Linked DNA regions of Struthio camelus. The protein of the gene in region 2 interacts with the protein of the main gene of each other region in a pairwise test. Links are inferred from orthologs where the notes say so. Each region holds a gene or a part of one and is shown on either strand. Other genes may lie near its edges.

The links.
Region 1: the proteins of MID2 (region 2) and MFAP1 interact in binary tests that used the Homo sapiens proteins (3 or more experiments, as listed by UniProt). The two-hybrid records come from large-scale screens. The link is inferred for Struthio camelus from reciprocal best matches to the Homo sapiens genes MID2 and MFAP1.

Annotation. Positions count from the first base shown.
Region 1 is NC_090953.1:487,436-495,033, reverse strand, and holds the start of MFAP1 (microfibrillar-associated protein 1), read left to right. Parts: upstream 1-4,592; 5' UTR 4,593-4,715; coding exon 4,716-4,794; intron 4,795-4,894; coding exon 4,895-5,114; intron 5,115-5,714; coding exon 5,715-5,844; intron 5,845-6,219; coding exon 6,220-6,407; intron 6,408-6,970; coding exon 6,971-7,079; intron 7,080-7,153; coding exon 7,154-7,314; intron 7,315-7,598. UniProt on the Homo sapiens protein: Involved in pre-mRNA splicing as a component of the spliceosome.
Region 2 is NC_090952.1:2,236,096-2,243,088, forward strand, and holds the start of MID2 (probable E3 ubiquitin-protein ligase MID2), read right to left. Parts: upstream 3,018-6,993; 5' UTR 2,892-3,017; intron 1-2,891. UniProt on the Homo sapiens protein: E3 ubiquitin ligase that plays a role in microtubule stabilization. Mediates the 'Lys-48'-linked polyubiquitination of LRRK2 to drive its localization to microtubules and its proteasomal degradation in neurons.

The DNA.
Region 1 (7,598 bases), on a different chromosome or scaffold from region 2:
GGAAGCGCTCTAGGGGTTCCCGTAAGGAAAGGCAGCGGAGGAAGGACAGAGGCCCTCACAGAGGAGAAAACCAAACAAACAGCAATAACATCACAGAGAGGACATCAAGAGGGACCAAATCAATAACTAAATATTTACTTAGAGCGCAGTGGCCACACTGCCTGCTGCTCCCATGCAACCCTCCCACGGCAGGGGGGGGGCTGAGTCCGCAGCCCTCCGCGTTGCTGCGGACACGTTTCCCCAGCCCCCCCTTCCTGCACAGTTCTGCTCCCTTTCCCAAACCTCGGGGTGCAGATCCCACTTTCCTCTGGAATCTCTCCAACCCCTTCACCTCACGTCACTTCACTGCCGGACGCTACCAGCAGGTTCCTGAGACGGCCTTGGCGCGCCGGGAGGAGGGTGCGGAGCTGCAGCGGCTGCAGTCCCCGGGCTGGAGCTGCGTCTGCAAGGTCCCGATGGCTCACGAGGCGCTATTCATAGTCACGCTCCTAGACATAACATTTTATTGTGGTCACACACATGGGATTCTCGAGATCCACCCCAAACACGCTGACCTTGCCCTGCGGTACAGTTTGCAGACACAAACAGTGGCGGCTCAGAAGGGGGCTGTAACTTTATCTGCCTTCTGACTTTGCCGTCAACAGCCATAAGGCCGCCGAGGTATCAAATCCGCAGCCCGCCGTGCTACCGCCCCTCTTCAGCTTTGCTGCTTTACACCCTGCCACCTCATGCCCTGTGTACAGCTTATCGCTGTTCACGGCAAGGGACACCCCTGTCTGGCCTGAGCACCCCAAGGTCCCTGCCGCAGTCGGGGGTCTCAGCACAAACAGCAGTGCAAACAGGAACACAGGTGCGCGCGCGCAGGAAACACCCGTGCCAGCCCGTGGGCAGGACCCCCTTTTTCTCCTTAGGCTGCAGTGAGGCATGGGGGGTCGCTCATAGATCTCAACAAAGAAATTTAGTCCAAAGCCTGACGGGCAGAGGTTTTAGCCAGCAAGTTGACAACGCAGCAGGGAACGGAGCTGCCCGTGTCGGGTGCCGGGGCGCAGCGAGCTCGCACGCCGCCCCACGGCACCCCGGCTCCGCGAGCGCAGGGAAGGGGCAGCTCAGGCTCGCGCCGCGCCGCCGCCCCCGCCGGAGCCCGGCCCCGTGCGGACCGCCAGGCTGGCTGAAGGCTCGGGGCCGACACGTCGCCGCTGGCGCCCGGGGCCGGGGCTGAGGGGCATCGGTCCCTGGTCTGCGGAGGAAGGCGGCTGGGGCCGCTGCCCGGAGGCACAGGCTCTTGCCAGCCTGCCCTGTCCGCAGGGGATCAGCTAGGGAGGAGCAGCGACAGGACACCGCCGCTCCCGGCCCGGCGCGGGCTGGCTCTCCCTGGCCAGGGCAGGGCCAGGCCGCACCGCAGCAGGCTCCCTCAGCCCCCCTGCACCAGCTCAGGCGACTCCAGCACTCGGTTTCTGCAGCTCGGCTGCGGCTCTCAAGGGCACGCGGGGCAGAGGAGGCACGCTGCGGGCTCCGGGCTGCTTTCGGCCGTTGCTTCAGGCTTCTGCCGTCCCCCAGAACCGAAGCCAGCCAGGGAGAGCCCGTCCCTGTTTGCTGAGGTCTTTAACTCCACCTGAATGGCACATTATGTGCTTTGTGTGCAATTCCCAAGCTCTCCTTTAACAGTTAGGTCTAATTGTTTCACCTACTGAGTCACATGTTGAAGCTCACTCCTTGCCATGGTGACACTGGATTCATTAGGTGGGAACACACTGTGATAACCACACAAGATTAATATCTCATCAGATGATCAAACGCAGAGCAGGGAGCTGGGCCTGGAGCTCCAATTGCCGTCAGGACGTAAATGCCAGAAACACCGAGAGCTCTTGCTTATTCCTGGGCATCAGTTGCTGTAGGATTATAAAGCCACTAATGCCTTGTCTGCGAGGGCAAACCGCAAGCTGGCAGGGCACCGAGGGAGACCCACAGCACTGGGGCCCTGCCCGAGCGCTCCATCCCTCCTCCTCTCGCAGCTCTGCAGCCAGGCTGGCCAAATCCCCCAGCTCCTGTAAGCACAGAGGCTCCTGCGAAGGCAGCAAGGTCTGCCTGGGTCTCGCCAGCAGAAACAGGGATTGTCTGAGACGCAAAGCTACCGAAGAGCGCTGCAGTAAGCACCTTCACGCAGCGCCACGCCACGGGCTGCGCCCGGGATGCCCTGGCCACAGGCAGCCAGCGCTGCGAGATGGGCTGGCTCTGGCGGCGCTGCCCCAGGCCCAGGGGCCTCCTCGCGCTCTCGGCCTGCAGCCAGGGCCTTAGCCACGCTGGCAGGAGCCGCTTTACCCAGCTGGTCCTGCCCCGCCTCTCGCAGAGGGGCCGAGGACAAGGCGAGAGGCTCCCCCAAGACAGAATCCCCCGCAGCGTCAGCCTGGAGACCTCTGCAGCAGCCCTGGGACGCCCCGCGGCCCCCGACGAGCAGAGCCCGGACCCAGGGGCAGTGCTGCTGCTGAGAACCACTTTCTGCCGCTTCCTTCCACACCCCGGACTACCCCGCTCCCTCAGAACAGTAAGTTGCACTGGCTAAATCACATCCTCCCACGAGGAAACCTCCCAGCCTGCAGCCCAGGACACCAAAAGGAAGAGTTTGCTGCCTTTCCTTTGGGAGCATGCTCCAGCGCTGAACCTCCATCTGGGAAAACACACTTGCTTTTGGATTTCCTGGGCATCCACCTCTAGCAATGCCCATCACACCCCGTGGCCTCCGCAACGTGCCCACGAGGGCCCCTGCTCGGGGCTGGGCAGGGCGACCACCTGCCACGCGCACGGCTAACACAGCACTCATCCCTCCCCACTTCCCAAATTCCTGTTACGAGATGTGTCGCAGACTGGCTCAAGTCCTGCAGCTAGGTTTCCTGGAAGATAAAAACCTCTTCCTTTCTTTCAAGGCAGCACAAAATTGCAGACGTTGGCTTGGTGGTTTGTGACATAGTTTTGCCCTACTTCAGAAATCTTGTTTTCCGTGCCACAGAAAAGCAGGGCAGCTCTTGCAAGCTGATCAGTTCCCGAACAGCCGTTTTCCTCTGTGAACTCTAGCACCTCCTCGGAGGCAATGACCGTGGTGAATGCGTGCTTACGTGGGCAGCACCCTGCCACATTCAGAAAATCTTTCTCCCCTGCTATGAAACAGCCACGCCCCCAGGCCCTTCCTGCCACACACATGCCACAAACCTCCCGTCACTTGCACTGGGAAAGCCCCAGGAGGTTCTGCAGTGGTGGCAGTGGGAGAAGCATCTCCCCCCACAGAACAGCAGGAGAGTCCCGCTCCTCCAGGGTAAGTCAGCCTCCAGGTGCTCACGGTGCTGCAGCGAGAAGCGCTGCTGCGTAGGGAGCTGTGAAGGCGTCCTGGCAGCCTGGGAAGACACGAACCCGAGCAGCGAAGCTCCTGCTTGGCTTGGTTTGCTGCTAGTTTACAGAGCAGGAGGGCCCGGGACAAGACTCTGATCAACACAGCAGTGAAAAACCTTCACAGCTCCAGGCTTTGTCTCAGGTCAGACATCAACCCCAAGACCCAGCGTGGCTGGCAACAGGCACAGCACGAACTAAGACCCAGCGTGGCTGGCAACAGGCACAGCACGAACTGAACCCACAGCAGCTTCTGCAGTCGGACCCTACCATCCACCCAAAGAGCAACAGGTTCCCCTGGCCGTGCTAGGAGGAGCTCTGCAGCCCCACCAAGCACAGGATGCGTCCCACAGCCTCAGCAAGACCCTGCAGGAGTTAGAGGGACGGTGGCACCGTGGAGCCGCTGACATCCAATATCCATACAGCTGTACAGCAGCTGCTGGCTCTGCTTTTGCTGCTCATCATCTCCACTTTAGCTGCACAAATGGAGAAGGAGCAGGAACTTACATCACGGGCTGAACATCTTTTCCATTCAGAGTTCAGTCACTAAATTGGAAGAAGGGGGCCGTGAGCATCTGTGCCTCAGTCATCTCTCACCCCATGATGGTGTGCTTTATCTAGAGCGACACTACCTCGGGCAAATAATTCGAAACCCAAAAGGCTGGCAGCAGGCGGAGACCAAGACTCTAGATAGAGCCAAAGGCCCTGAGCACCAGGACGTGGATTAGGGAAGAGGCGACCAGATGCCCCAAGAAAATCGCAGCCCGAGCAGCGGAGGGCCAGAGCCCCAAGGCCCGAGGGAAGCTCCGGCCAGCAGGAAAGGCCTGCTCACGCGTCCCCCGTTCCCCAGCGCTCGAGAGGGCCCTTCGGGGCAACTCCGCACCCGCGCTGCGCCGCCAGCGCCTCCCCCCGCCGCCCGGCGGACCACGGGGAAAACACACGCAGCAGGTGGCGCAGCCGAACGCCCCCGCCCCGCCCGCCGAGGCGCGACGCCGCCCGTCGCCTGGGTGCCGGCGGCGGCGGGGGGCAGCGGCCCGCGGGGGGCGCTCCCCCGGGCGGCGCGGCCCAGCGCCGCGGCCCGCAGCACCCCCGGCCCGGCCCCAGGCGGCACCGGCAGCCGCCCCCGCCGGCCGCTCCCCCGCCCCGCCCCGGCGCGCCGGAAGTGACCGCCGCCAGTGGCGTCACTTCCGGCCAACGGCTCGCGGGGGCGGGAGGCGGCGGTTCCGCCGGAAGCGGGGGCGGCCGCAGTTCCGGTTCCGGGGGAGGAGGGTGCCCGCCGCCGCCAGAGCCGCCGCCGCTGCTGCCGCCGTCCCGTCCCGTCCCGACCCGCCGCCACCATGTCGGTCCCCAGCGCCCTCATGAAGCAGCCGCCGATCCAGTCCACGGCGGGCGCCGTGCCCGTCCGCAACGAGAAGGGTGAGCGGGGCACCGGGGGGGCCGGCGGCGGCGGCGGGGGGGGGAAGCCCGGGCCCGGTGGCGGCCGGCCGGGCCCCGGTGACGGCCGCCCCGCCCGCAGGCGAGCTCTCCATGGAGAAGGTGAAGGTGAAGCGGTACGTGTCGGGGAAGCGGCCCGACTACGCGCCCATGGAGTCCTCGGAGGAGGAGGACGAGGAGTTCCAGTTCATCAAGAAGGCGAAGGAGCAGGAGGTGGAGCCCGAGGAGCAGGAGGAGGAACTCGCCAACGACCCGCGGCTGCGGCGCCTCCAGAACCGCATCAGCGAGGACGTGGAGGAGCGGTGAGCAGCGCCTGCCCCCGGAGGAGACCCGGCCTTCCCCAGAGCCTCTGCCTCCGGCCCCGCTCTGCCGCTGACCGTCACCCAAGCACGGCCGCGCTCTCCCAGCCCTGCGGGAGCGGTCTCCAGCGCTGTTGGCGCGGGTGCTGGATCGTGCCGCGGGCCGCCGCTGTGCCGTGAGCACCCCTGAAAGCCAAGGGTCACGGCAGCCCCGCGTTCAGGAGCGGTTTGGCTGGCCCAGGGGAACAGCGGGTTCTGAAATAAAAATTAACACAGCGACACCTCTCTAGGCTAGCGGGAAGATATGGTTTCATCTGAATCGTATTCAGGGCAGAAAGTATCTGAGCACTGTTTACCTTCCCCCATAGAGGTACTTCAGCCTTCAGCACTAGTAAAGGGGAGGCTTCCCACCAAAAACACAAATGGGGAGGAAAAGCCACTGCCTGGCTGCTCCTGCCTTTTAGGAAAGGACATGCTGTTTCACTCCCAGACTCAGTCGTTCCAGTTTTTACTATGGCCTCATTAAGAACAATTCACAAATAGCCATCTTTCTGCGGTCTCTTTACGCTCAAAGTGCTGTAGTTCAACTAGGGTCTGTTACAGGCTGGCCAGACACCGTAAAATTGTGGAGCCTGAAGTGGTTGGAGACAGCGATTCAGAGGTGGAGGGAGAAGCTTGGCGGCTCGAACGGGAGGACACCAGCGAAGAGGAAGAGGAAGAGATCGATGATGAGGTATGCTTGCAGACCTGAACAGACTTGGCTTAAGAAAGCCCCTGAATGACACAGGCTGGAATAACCCATGTACGTGTGGAAAAGGCTATCTGGTGAAACTAGGGAGTTTCAGGACTTGCAGGTCACTCCATAGCTGGCCATGACTTAACTCTGGGTTACCTGTCTCTTGCTGCGAGGTGGGACGCTGGGTGAGGCCACCTTCCATCCTGAGGGACGGGAACATCTTTTTGTAACAAAGAGGTTCCAGACATGTCACTTCTGGCACAAAGAATCTGAAAGGAACTGGCTTCCTGCCTGAGGCAGAAAGTCTGTGGGGAAGGGAGCGGTAGCAGGGCTGCTCCACTGACTCCTCTGTGTTTGATGCACCTCCGTTAGGAGATTGAGCGTCGCCGTGGGATGATGCGCCAGCGAGCGCAGGAGAGGAAGACCGAGGAAATGGAGGTGATGGAGTTGGAAGATGAGGGTAGATCTGGAGAAGAGTCTGAGTCAGAGTCCGAGTATGAGGAGTACACAGACAGTGAGGATGAAATGGAGCCACGTCTCAAACCTGTCTTCATCCGCAAGTAGGTGACACGGTCAGGCAGGTCGGTCCTGTGTGAGGATGCAGGAGGCAGCGGCTGGGCGCCAAGCAGACGGTCACCGCTGTGATCTCCGCTTCGTACAGCGGGGCGGTAGCACTGCCTGCCTCCTAAGGGGAGGTGACAAATACCAGCCTGGCAGGGCACAGCTGAGGAGTAACGGGTGTTCGCTGAGCGGCCACGGGCAGCTCTTGCAGCTGTGTCAGGTCACTGCGTGGGACCAGCCGGTGGGTTTCATCGCAGCAGGGTTGTGCTAGGGCATTTGGGCAAGCGCTGTACAAAGAGCTGGGAAGCTGGCAGAGGGTAGTGCACCACGGCGGGTGCCTCGCGCTCTCTTCTCTCCACGCATGCCTGTAGCTGTAGGGGGAATTAGCAGGGCTGCCCTGGCTTGGGCAACAGCAGGAAGGGGAGAGCCCTTGAACTTGGCTCTTACTTGGAGAGTAAGGGCTAAGGGTCACTGCAGCACGGGAGCAGGATAAGTCTGTGAGGGGTTCGGCTGCATGGGCTCACGCTGAAAGGTTGAAGGCTTTTGTGGTCTCTGTCTATAGGAAGGACCGGATCACGGTTCAGGAGCGAGAAGCAGAAGCCTTGAAGCAGAAGGAGCTGGAGCAGGAGGCAAAGAGACTAGCAGAGGAGAGGCGCAAGTACACGCTCAAGGTACCGCGGGGCTGGCTGGGGGTGGCACAGGGAGGGTGGGCACTGCAGCAGGCTTACTTTCACCCTTGCTGCAGATTGTAGAAGAGGAAGCAAAGAAGGAACTGGAGGAGAACAAGCGTTCGCTGGCAGCACTGGATGCACTTGATACAGATGATGAGAACGACGAGGAGGAGTACGAGGCCTGGAAAGTACGTGAGCTGAAGCGTATCAAGCGGGATCGTGAAGAACGAGAAGCGTAAGTATTGTCTCTGCTTAGATCTGTGGCTGAGCGTCGGCAGGCCCAGGCCCTGCACCCTGCAGGCCAACTGACGGTTGAGGCCTCTCTTCCTCAGGCCTGCTTTTGACAGCACACTCTTACCTAGACAAAGCATCCAAAACATTTCCTCTCCACCCTCAGGGTGGCCTTGCTCCGCTGTGGAGTCAGTAAATGCAATCCCTTAGAAAGGCTTTCTGCAACAGTAATTGTCCCGAAACATTGCCGTGAGAGGTGCTGATTCTGAGGGGTTTTTGTCCTGCCAG
Region 2 (6,993 bases):
TCCACATCTCTGGATCCGCAGAGATCCAGCCTCTCTGCCTGGACGGCCAAGAGCCACAGTTTCTCAGACTACCAGCCACATTGCAAAAGAGCAGCCCTGAGATGCGAGAACTGTCAAAAGTCAGTAGCTGACCTGAGACATGACAGGTTCAGCAAAACACTCCGTACTTCCGGCTGGCCAAGCAACTCCCAGCAGCAGCCCCAACCACTGACTGCACACAAATGCACCTGAAGCCAAACGCTAGGGGATTCCGGATGAAAAATTCAAGTGCAGACTTGGAAACATACCTCCCCAGCCCAAAGAGGAGATGATAGAGTCCTGATTAAAAAAAAAAAAAAAAAGTCAACCATTCTCTTGTCTCAAGGACGATCCCACCCCTGTTTACAAACATATATATATGCAATCACATACAAACTGTTAGCATCCCCCCCCCAACACTGTGCCTTTGCCAATGAGGCCATCAGATCACACTGCGCATGCAAGCAGACCCTTCAAGGGAATTTATCATACACTGCAGCATAATTTCATTTTCTAAAGCAACGTTTACAAAACAGGCAGTGCAACTTTTCGGACACTCACTGTACGCACTACTTTCACCTGATGCCGCAAAAGGCTCCGCAGGGCACAGACCTGTCTCTAATTGTTTGTAAAGCAGCAGGCACACCCAGGGCTCTCTGTAGCAATAACACCACCTGCCTGAATCAATGCAACTGCTTCTATCGCTGACACTTGCTCTTCCTCCTTGTATTTTTATCCCCACTCACTGCCTTTTCCGAGCTGGTTTCCCAGAAGTAGTTTTGTGGAATAGCCCCCTGGAACAGAGATCATCGCAGCCTTACAACACTACCGCCCAGCGGGCAAATGCCACAAATAAACCTGCGTTCACGGCCTCCCCTCCCCCTTATTTCTTGCCCATTCACAAGAAGAAAAAGCCAAGTGAACAGCTCTGAGCGCGTTCCTAGCAGGCTAAATGCAGCAGCGACAACCCCAGCACAGAGACCAAAGCACCCGCAGAAGCCACGAAGCTCTGCACTCACCAGCCTGCCTTTGTTTATTCCACAGACATCTTACCCCACATCCCCCAACTAGTTTGCCCTCCTCTGCCACAAACCGGGCCGTGCAGGACCTCGACGCCTCTGCCCCCGATCCCCAGATCACATTGGAGTGGGGGGAGATAAGGAAGGAAGGGCACCATTCTTCTTCTTAGAAGGTTCAAGAAGCAGTTCAGACCCCAACTCGACGCGTCTCGGTCCCACGCACAGCACGACAAGCAGTTGGCACCGCTTCCCAAATTCCCAGCATGCTGTCCAGCAGTGACCTCACTTGTAAGACAATACACTGTCTAGGAGCAAACGATGACTCCGTGCCGATACAGAGAGCCTTCGTGGGTACAGGCTGCCAGCTTCGTTCTAGCTACGGCAGCTACTCAAAGACAGACGGTCTTCTTGAAGCCGCTTTCAACAACAAAGACTCAGCCGAGGTTTTAGAGCTTGCTTCAGAGCGGGAGAAGACCTGGGCAAAAGCCAGACAGAACAGGCACAGTTGAAGCCATTAACACCCCAGCGTGTCAGGACTTGAGAAAACTGTAGGGCAACAAGACACATTTGCCCTCTCCAAAAGCTCTACAACCCATTCAATGGAATGGCCATTTGCCGCCTGTGAACTACGTTACAAACATCTTTAGCTGTGCACATCAGAGCAATAAAATATGCAGTTGATATGTTTTTGGAGGCAAGAGACATAAATAAAGCTTAAAGACTAGGAATTCAAGTCTTGAGTGTCACTCAGCCACATTTTCTAACAACTTGTCAGATACTTAATGCAACCAAAATACGCTACACTTCAGGACTAGCAATAATATCAGTCCTGCACAGTCAATTAAATGGTAGAGCAATATCCCATGAAATATTGCACAGTCTCTCAGTGAGACAGAGGGGTTAGCATTATTAGAGACATTACACGTGCCCCTTTCCGCCTTGCTTTGCAAGAATGCTAGAAGATTTCTGAAGACGCCAGCCTCGGGAGACCCCCTTATCTTTTAACTTCAATTTAGCTAAACTTTATCATCGCTAAAGCTGTGAAACACTGCTAGCAACGAAAACTGGAGCAACCAGAAAGCAGCCACACTGCACAGGGCTCCCTGCTGACAGCAGTGGGAGCCTGAAACTGAAAACGCAGTGATTTAAAATGTAGTCGCCAGGCTGAGAGGCAGAAAGGATGTGACACACGCGCACACTACCTGGAAAATCAGGAAAAGGGTGGGAGATGCTAACTAAACTGGCTGGCACGGAGAGCTTGGAGTGGGAAGGCAAGTTTGTCCTCTCCGGCTCGCCAGCCTGAAGGCCAACTAGCAAACAAATAGCTGTTTCATACTAGGATGGTTCCGAGCAAACAGAAACGGCTAGGAAGGAAAGGGGACGTCTCACTGCACCTCGCGTTGGCTGGTCTTGCAGGATGGACTCGGCGCACCTGAACTTCCTCCCGTGGAAGGGGAAAAAGGCTGGGAGGGCGCCGAGCGCAAACTCCTCTGTTCTTCCCCACCGAGGAGCGGAAGATGCTTAGGAGCATTTGCAAACACACTTCGCAGCTGGCAGAGCTGCCTGCGCACCGAGCCGCCGCCGGCTCCGGGCGTCGCCGGCTCCGGGCAGGGCGAGAGCCCCTGGCAGCGCCGTGGCCGGGAAAGCACGGGGCGGTGCGGGCCCCCGCTCCGCTCTGCGCCGCTTGCTGCAAAATCGCAACGGCAGCGCCGGGGACCCGAGCCCTGCCCGCCACCCCGCGCCCTCGCCCCCTCGGCGACCGGCCAGGCACCCTCACCCCGGGGCCCCGGTACTCCCGCGGGCTCCGGGCGGCACCCGCCCGCCCTGCTCCGCTCTCCCGGGGCCGCAACCTACCAGCGGGCTGCGGCAGCCTCCCCGCCGCTGCCCGGGCATCTTGGAGACGCGGCGGCGGCGGCGCGGGGGAGACGGCGGCGCGGGCGGCAGCCGGAGCGCGGGGCGGGAGGCGGGCGCCGCGCTCCCGCCGCCTCCGCCCTGCCTCGCGCCCGCCCTCCCTGCCGCCCCCCCGCCCTCCCGCCGCCGCCGCCGCCGCCGCCGCCGCCGCCGCCGCCGCCGCCGCCGGCCCTGCCCGCCGCCGCAGGTGAGGCAGCGCAGCAGCACCAGGCACGGCGGCCTCGGGGCCGCGCTCCCCCCGCCCGCCCCGCCGCGGTGGCACCGAGCCAGGGCGCGCCGGGGAGGCTCCAGCGGGGCCGGGCGCCGCGGAGCCGGGCCGGGCCGGGCGGTACCGCCCCGCGGCCGCCCCTTCCTGCCCCCGGGCGCGCCGTGTCTGCCTGAGCGGCGGCGGAGGAGAGAGGCTGGAAGGCCGGCAGGGAACGGCGAAGCCGCGGGCCCGCGCGGGCCGCGCCCCGACGTGCTCCGGGGGCACCGGCCCGCGGCGCCCGGGGTCGGGGCCGAGGACAGCGCAGCCCTTAACCACCCGTCTTCTGTCCCCCCGCACGAGGAAGAGGAGCGTAGCGTTAGGAAACATTTCTTCCTTGTGCACAGACCAATAGCGATTACAAGGATAGTCAGACATGTACATCAGGCAAAGGCTTTAAATGAGATCCGTGGGGTGTTTTATTATTATTACAGTGGAGGAGATACTTAAAAGTTGAGATTAAATTTCTTCGCAGCAACTCTTAATGTGTTTGCTTTTCCATTGTCCGATACAGCTGAGAAATAGATTAGATTAGTTCCCTCTCCAACCCCACTTTCTAGTCCCGAAGAGTGGGTGGATATTCTGATGTTTTTAATACAGTAAAAAAGCCTATTGGGTAAGTTTATTTTGTTATTTATAAAGTGCATATATACATACATACATATAAGTGCAAAGCAATAACATCAAAGAGATACAAGGGAAGGGGAACCCAGAAATGTAATTTATTCCTTGGTAACAGGCATATATGCTGTACAGGTTATTTATATTTGAAGACTGCCTGGACTGTTAAATGACCCTTCTCTTTAAAATAAATAGGAGGAAAAGTATATCCAGGATCTCGGTGCCGCTCAGTGAGGTAGGAAGAGATCCTTTCAGATGTCAAAGGAACGGTTTAGTGTGCAGGGACCTGCAGCCCTTTCATTTTCTGCCCTTAATTCACTTTGATATCGTCATTGCATGCCCAGACACATAGTATGTGCTTCATTTTTACAGTAAGGCACCGAACACATGGTAGTTGTCACACTGTGAAATTCCAGTGGAAAAAGACAGCTGTACTTTACCGAGTAATAGAAGTCAACATCATAACCACAGCCAGGGTTGTTCTCACCTAGTTTACCTTGCAGAAAAATCACAGATCCTGTTCCCTAGGAGAATCTGACAGTGGGATAGTTAATGTACACCAGTTATTCGGCGTTAAATCCTATCTCTGCTCTTTTGACAGGGAAAACAGTCTGCATTGCTGTGGCCAAGTCACGTAATTCATAGCTGTCCTGGGACTGATTCTTGTCATTTGCATCTGTGCAAACCAAGCGAGAAGAGAACAAACAGCCCGATCAGAGCCTGATAGGGCCCAATTCTTCCTTTGTTTAGACAGGCAGGAAATTAAAGCAACTTTCCTGAATTCAGTGCTATTAATAGGCTGCAGCAGGTACCTGGGATCAGATTTAGTCTGTTGGGCAAAGTTATACATCCTGCACTGGTGTTTAGGGTCACCAATTACCAGGTGCAGAGACCCCCGCCTATGTGTGTACATTTGTGAACACAGTATAGCTTAGATGAGGCAGTACAAGGGGGAGACACTGACTGTATGGGCCAATGGAAACATGAAGCAGCAGGGAACAGCAAAGATAATAGCGCAGATGTGCAACCCAGAGACGAGGCACATCAGGCTGCAACAGAAAACAGGCTGCTAACAACTAACAGATGACTGGAGACCACAAACACCCCATTTCAAAGGACTCTGCAGGTAACCGAGCCTGGATTCACATGGCTTCTGCACTGTGATCAGGGCTGCCAAGGAGCAGCTGTCACAGGAGTCTGGTAGCTTGGCTCAGCCCCAAGCTCAGAGACCTTCAAGCTTCCTCCCAAAGCATGCTGGTGAGAAAGAGAGCCCAGCCAGCAGGCATCATGCAGCAGTAGCCAGCTGTGTGGTATCCTGATCTCACACCTTCTCCCAGCTATGATGACAACCTTACCACATCACTGGGAAAGGTAGGCAAGCTGGCAGGGACAGGGAGCATGGGAGAAACAGAGGCTTTGGAGTTGCTGCTAGGGACGATATGGAGGGGATAAGTGTCAGTGCCTCTCTTTCCTGTCCTCCAGGAATCTAACTACTGCTGTCTCTCTCACACTTGCAAATCAAAGCCCAATGGCGGATGTGCACAGCTGTGGCTCCATCTGTAGAACACACCAAATACCATGGCCCAGGTGGGCTGAGACCTACCAGGCCACAGCTCGGTGTCAGGGGTATTTTAAGCCCCCAAACAGTTTTTCTAAAGGGATCCACAGGAGATAGGATTTTGTCAGGGAACATTACCACCACTGTCAGCTTGATGAGTCCCTAGCCTAGTTAGGCCTCTGGATTACAAACTGGAAGTGTCAGAGGTGACCTTGGGCAAATATTTACAATTACAGTGTTGCTCTATATGTGCATGTGTTCTAAACACAGAAGGGATCAGGTCCAAATGACACTTTAATTGAGCAAGCAGGGCGGTAGGAGGGTAGAGCTCTTTATGCTAATGTGCTAACAACTCAAGAGTGAATCATATTAATTAGGGGTGGGGAGAACATGTCCATCTGCCCGTGAAGTCATTTTGGAGTGTCAAGTGCTCAGCACCTCTTCCAGCAGGACTTGTGCATTTTGAATAGGGACTGACTTGATTTGTGTAACATGCAGCTGTGAGCATGTTGTTAGGACTAAGGGAATCGTGATTATATTGCCCAAGGCTGGTATGTGTTAGCATCCACATTTTACAAATGGGGAATGGAGGCACTCAAGTTATACTGCATGCCTGGGATGCTTAGTGAATAAATGACACAAAGTTATAAAGCGGGACTCCCCCTCTCTGAAATTTGTTCTTGCAGTAGAAAGCATAGGGGGGGAAAAATCCTTTTAAGTTCTGAATCCCTCTTCTTGCTTCTTCCTAAAAGCAGGCAGGTAGTTGTAGAGATGAGCAGGAATGAATGAGCAGGATGAATTCCCCAAGAAGAATCTTCTAGTTTCTTCTTATGTTTTGATAACGTCATTTTTTGAAGTTTCATTAGCACCTCCTGTATCTCCAGTTCTTACCCAGAGGCATTCACTTCCTCCTCCGTCACTGTGCATGGAACAGCAGCTCAGTTCATGTATAGGAAGTGGATACTTTGCACCACCTCATGTTGAGGCCTGGAATTTCAGAGTCTGATCACAATTTCAGTTCTGTCCTGTGATGCCTAAACCAGAGGCCTCACAAACTTGCCCCAAAACAGGCTCTTCTGGCTTAGCATGCACTTTCCCAATGCCTCTGTGTCTTGCAAGACAGCAGTCCCACTGTCATGCTCTTCATTAAGGCTTTATTGTTAAAAGTTTTCATGCAGCAGCAACAGGGCTGAACTGCCTCTGTGTAGTGTTTGAGGGCTGCTTTTCCAGAGGCAGCAAGTTGTTGTCAAATGCATTGTGCATGTCTTCTTGGCACGCATACCAGCCAGAACAGTTTCTTAACCCAGCCCAGCCATTCGTTGTAAAAGACATGACAGGCTTTCACACTACCCTATTTATGAGCAGTTCCCTTTTTACCTTTTCACATGTGAATGGGAGCAACTGAAGGAGGGGAAGGATGCAAAACTCCCGAGTTCAGTTGCTCCCATTCACTTCCCCCTTCTAACCCTGCTGCAGCTCAGGGGCAAGAAGGAGAAGGCAAGAGGGCTCTTTTGAACTGCTGAGGGAGCAGCAGCGTGATAGGGCAAGGTGCTGAGATGAGGCTCCCATTAACTGGGAGCTAGCACAGGACTAGATGCAAGGCGTGCGACTGGAAAGAAGCA